Kluyveromyces lactis: one gene and its partner. The protein of the gene in region 2 binds, or shares a complex with, the protein of the main gene of each other region. Links are inferred from orthologs where the notes say so. Each region holds a gene or a part of one and is shown on either strand. Other genes may lie near its edges.

The links.
Region 1: the proteins of TLG1 (region 2) and VPS51 are in contact, whole or in part, in a crystal structure (PDB 2C5I), measured with the Saccharomyces cerevisiae proteins. The link is inferred for Kluyveromyces lactis from reciprocal best matches to the Saccharomyces cerevisiae genes TLG1 and VPS51. Residues at the interface, in NP_010756.3 of Saccharomyces cerevisiae: Pro7, Phe8, Gln10, Val11, Asp14, Glu17, Gln18, Arg21, Ile22, Tyr25, His29, Asp34, Gln37, Glu40, Ile41, Asp43, Ile44, Asp47, Glu50, Thr51, Asp54, Leu55, Arg57, Ser58, Val61, Arg64, Asp65; in NP_012945.1 of Saccharomyces cerevisiae: Lys9, Leu11, Arg12, Val13, Ser15, Leu16, Asp19, Arg20, Leu22, Leu23, Leu24, Glu26, Phe27, Leu30.

The regions. Positions count from the first base shown.
Region 1 is NC_006040.1:186,848-189,458, forward strand, and holds VPS51 (Vps51p), read right to left. Parts: upstream 1,066-2,611; coding exon 517-1,065; downstream 1-516. Other genes in the region: ILT1 (Ilt1p), read left to right, coding at 1-456; KLLA0_D02222g (uncharacterized protein), read left to right, coding at 1,503-2,611.
Region 2 is NC_006041.1:318,877-321,697, reverse strand, and holds TLG1 (Tlg1p), read right to left. Parts: upstream 1,532-2,821; coding exon 836-1,531; downstream 1-835. Other genes in the region: SDC1 (Sdc1p), read left to right, coding at 1,794-2,198; mitofusin complex protein UGO1, read right to left, coding at 2,307-2,821.

The DNA of each region.
Region 1 (2,611 bases), on a different chromosome or scaffold from region 2:
CTAGTGATAGGAATCATTGCCACTATTTTGCTTGCAGCAGGATTGATCCCACCATATTTTGAGCTTGCGAAACGTCAGGGACGTGTCGTTGGCATAAATTTCATATTCTTGTTTGTTGACTCACTTGGTGCATGGTGTAGCATTGCCAGTGTTATTGTAGGGAACATGGATATCATGGGAATTGTATTGTATGCTGTCGTCGCAGCGTTAGAGCTCGGGATATTCGCTTCCCATTTCATATGGTGCTGCAGATTTAAATGGTTTGGCAATGGTACTGGTGAATTCGATGATGACGATGTCGGTAGCACAAGCAGTTCCGTAGGTATAGAAATAAACGGAATCGATGGCGACTCTGCTGAAGACGGGATCTTTGCAGGTCCTTATATTAATAACGAGCAGGATAAAGATGATATTGGTAGTAATAATACAAAATCTATGAAAGAACAAAGATCATGATAGTTGATAGGACGAGGATGATCTGGGAAATAAAGAATATACGACATGCAGCGCATACCGTCACTGTTTCAACATGGGTCGAGCCATATTGCACGTTTCTCGCAGTTGCTCCACTAAGGATTCATCCAACTGAGTCATCTCTTTTAGTATTTCATCCACTTTAATCAAATCGTAATAATTATCGTATATAGTATTCTTAATGGCATTGTCTGCTTCAGTTTCCTCTGCCAAGAGCAGATTTTGAACTTGCAATAACTGCTTCAAAGACTTCTTTGTTACATCTATATCACCCTTTTCCAGTTCTAACCGGATCTCTTGCTCTGTATCTTGAGGTGATTTGCAGTTTTCAATGGGTGTAGAAGCAACGACATTGCCAAGATTAGCGCTGGTCACGCCAGAATCAATGTCAGCACCTGATGCTGGTATCGACCCCGTTGTTACTCCAGGTAAAACTGACGGCGATGGCGACTTCGTATCAGCCTTATCCGATTCAGCAGTTGTTTCTCCAGGCTTATTATCCTTTTGTAGTCGATAATACTCTTTCAATAGCCTTCTCTTCTCATTATCTACCCGTTTCAACGATTTTTTATGCGTAATTTGTTCTGCCATGGTCCCAAGAAACACAAACTCTCTTGAATATTACTGAACAGGCTGTAGGCTTGGGGTCCTGTATCGTCTAGACATTCAATTACCCGTTAAGGCTACCTTCAAAATGGTTAGTCCAAAGGTAATTAATGTCAAGCTGAAATGTCTAAAGTATGATGAACGCACTCAAAAAAAAAAAAAGCAGGTCACATGACTACATCACGTGACCTTTATCTTTCCCGTTTCTTTAAAGGGTTTAGCTTCTAGACAGGTTCCATCAAACGTATTTATATACACATTTATGTACATCCCGCAACGTTTGCAGAGAAAATGTCAAACAGATCAACGAAACACCCTCAGATACAGGAGAAGCGATTGGATGACCAAATAGTGGATCTGATACTTAAATAACTCTTCTGTTTTTGGTCTGAGATTGTGAATTTTGGCGCAACAGACCGGGGATGAGGTTTAGATCCCGACATCAAGTGGATAAACCGAACGTTATAGTGACACAAAGCAATAGAAAGAATGAGGATCGATTGGGTGAAGATGCTTCCCTGAAAGCTGCTCAGGCAATGTTCAAGAAACATACTGTGAGCCAAGGGTTTGCAGTATCGGATGCACCAGGGACAAAACTATCTTTACCCAATTCAGGGCATGGTACGCCGGCACATAACGTCCAGGCTATGGCAAGGTCCTCTTCTTCATCCTCTGCAACTTCTACTCCGATAAACATTATTAGAAGAAGTCCGAGATCTAGTTTAAAGGGCAAACCGATGGGCGGATTATCTGTTTCCCCACGGACTGTCGAAGGTAATGCAGCGTTATCGCAGCAAGCTGCGGCTGTAGCATTGGAGAATGAAATTAGTGGTGATGAGTCTATTGTTTTGGTTCCAGCTGGAAACTCAAATGGGAGTATGACGCGGAGTAATAGCAGCATTAATGCAATTCGAATCGTTCCAGGTGGTGGGTTGTCATCTTCTCGTAGCTCATCGAAAGTGTCAATAGTCAAAAATTCACCGACTCATTCTCTGGCGCTTGCTGATAAATTAAACTCGATAACTTTGGAAAGCGTTTATGGAAAACCTAGTACTGCTACTGGGACTGCTACTAGGACGTTGGCCGGGCGTAAGGCGCCTCCAGCTGCTTTTATAGACCAGGATTCCGTTCTTTCGAATGATAAACATAGTGAAAATGAAGACACACCTATCAAGGGCACTATCTCTTATGACACTACGGCAAGAATGAATGTTCCTGTGACTTATGAGGGTACACTCCCAGATCTTATACCAGGTCATCAGAGACACAAAAAGAAGAAATGGCGTAACATTTTTGGATCAAGCGCTACGCATGGCAGCTCCGCTGGAGGTGCTATAGGGATAAATGGCACCTCTGCATCTGGAAATGATCAATATGAAAATCCAAGTGGTACTTTATCTGAGTTACAGTTGAATCGGGCAGAAGATAATCTTATTGTGAAAAGCGTCAATCCAACGCAAAAGACTAGGCTTCAAACCACATTGAGATCTAATGATTACGATAGAAATTCAGAATTGGCTGCTGTCGCTGG
Region 2 (2,821 bases):
TGCAAAATTAAAATGGAATATAATAAAGTAAGGCAAAAAAAAACTGTGCTGTTATTTTATCCCTGAGAACAGCCAGAAACTATAAGAATCTTGACTTCAATTTCTATCAATGGATATTGTTAGAGAGGGGACTAAACAAAATAGTGAAATATCACACACGCCGCTGCCAATATTGTATTGATTCCTTCAGCTAGTCTAAATCAAGTGAAGAGATATAGAGGGTTTTTGCAGGCCAAAAATTTCAAAAACGATTCTAAAGAAAAGAGCCTGAATAAATCCTAAATAGAGAAAGAAAAAAAAAGTCGGGAAACAAACGATAATTACAAGACACAGAAAATCCGGGAATGAATGCCAGTAAGTATTATCAACTCCGTCCTAATCCTAGTGCCCTTCGCCTCTTAAATGAAATCGCTCTCTTCGATAGTCTTGGATCTGACACTGTAGCTTGACGTGCAAAAAACCCAATCCAGCAAGCAACCTTTTGCTTTTGTACCTTAAAAACTAACTTGGTCTTAATACTTTTCCATTTCTCAGTTTCCATACTTTCTATATATTTCAACAAAAAAATCAGTTCGAAAGCTCCATTGTGGTACGATTTCAAAGCCGCTGTCGTATGTTGTGATTTCCGATTTTTTTCCATACCGCAACAGTGTCGAGAGGTATTTTGTCTATCAGAGGAATGGAACGACGACGATGACGATCCGTCAACTGGGGGGTCAAGAATTGTGTCAGTTTCTCTTAGGAAACTTCGCACCTTTCGTTACTCGGGAATGTGCATCGTCTTCTTCCTTTTTTGGTTTCTGTTTGGTTCCCGGTTCAAATTCGGTGATATACATCACAAAATGAATGCTAGTACTAGTAGGATGATCAATGCAATGATTAAGAGAAAGATGCAGCAGTCGTTGACACGTTCTTTGTTGTGTTCGTAGACCCATTCTAGTTGTCGTCTTCCTCTGGAAAGTTTGTTCATGACTCCGTCGACATTTCCGTCCATTTCTTCGAGAATCATGCCCTGTTCTGTTAGTTCTTGACCCATTGTAGATGCCTGTAGATGAATGTTTTGCATTGTCTGGTGAATCATGTCCAATTGATTGTCTTGTTCACGGAGTAATTGCTCCTGTACGGCGTCGTGGTTTGCCGCGTCTGATTGGTCGGTGCCTGCAGTTGCCTCGATGTCCAAATCGAAGGAATCGCCACGCTGTTGTTGCTGCGGCAGCAATGATGATTGGGTAGCTGCATCGGTGTCGCGGGTTGTCTCGATATTTAACGACTGGCATTGTTTCAATTTTGATTCCAGGTTTGCCATGGACTTCTCACGGGTCTGAATTTCGTATTCGGGAATAGCTTGTTCCTGTTTCATCATTTCTATACTCTCATTTAGATCTTGGATAGTCTCTTGAGCCTCAGAGATGATTTCCGAGATCTCTTTCGAACTGGTGTTCGATCTCCCTTTCTTCTTCCTATCTAATATCTGCAATAATTGGTTCAATTGTTCCTCTGTGTCCTTGAAAACCTGAATAAATGGATCCATTTTGTCCTCTTTGCTTTTGGTGGTTAATTTTGATATAATATTGGTATTACCTGATTCAGTGCGGTCTGTTTCTTGGGGAGCTCGAATTGTACCTGCCTTGGTGAACTTTGTTTAAGATTTCAGTTTGTTATTATTTTCCTTTTATTATTGACAATCTTGAAAAATCACTGAGTTTTGACTATATACATGGACAGATCTACACCTAGACTTGGCCGAATAAAGCTCCAATCCTGGTCTCCTGCCACAACTGAAGCTTATCTACATGTCAGAACCAGTGATGGAGAATATGGCACCTGAAGATGTGGTAAAACTTGAGAAAGAAGAACATATTGTACCGGATATTGGCGTCTCTTCGATTTCTACCACTGAACCCCTGTCTCCATCGGGTATACCAAGGGAATCATCTGGAACTGTTACCTCTGCAACTGCAGCTACAACAGAAAGAGAAGTATCACCCAAGAAGGAACTACAAATTGATCATGATCGTGTTGATCCAGTAGCGATGATCGGTGGGTCAACCACTAGAAGATATTTGAATGAACATGTAACAAAACATTTATTGGAAGGAATGAAACTGATAGCCAGAGAAAAGCCCGAGGATCCACTTCGAGTATTAGGCCAGTTCTTGATTGATGCAAGCGAAATGAACCAGAAGCCTTCATCGTAGATATGAATTTACGACTTTCTTAAACTAAAGACATCTGTATTATTATTATTATTTTATATATGTATGTTTTCCTTCAATGTCCAGTTCACTTATAGATATCTACATGAACTAAAACTTCTCCTCTTCGAGTATTTCTGATGGCTTATTTAAAATCTTCAAACCATAACCGCATAAAATGCTTAGAAGCCCGAGTCTCCAGCCTCGCCATAGTTCACTAATTCTGTCGCACTGCTTGAATACCGTCAGGTAGATGGATTGGTACTCCCTTGGTTTTATGATTAACATTTCAGATTGTACTTGGAATGGGTTTTCTGTGAACAAGAACTTCACTTGACTCCTTCTCAATAGATTCTCAATTGGTAGCTTTACGAAGAGTTCACAAACTTTACTGCAGAACTTTAATGTGTTGTACAGAATCACATTAGTGAATTTGTCAACATTGAACTGATGATATAGTATTGCACCGGTTAATTTGCTAAATCCTGTCCCTACCAGGGAATATAATATATTCAAAAAGACCAATTCCTTATTTAGTTTGGATATGTTTTCCCTCCAGGACCATTTTCTCAACAATTTTCTTAAGGATCTATCGTTATCAGAAAGGGAACCATCGTTACGAACAG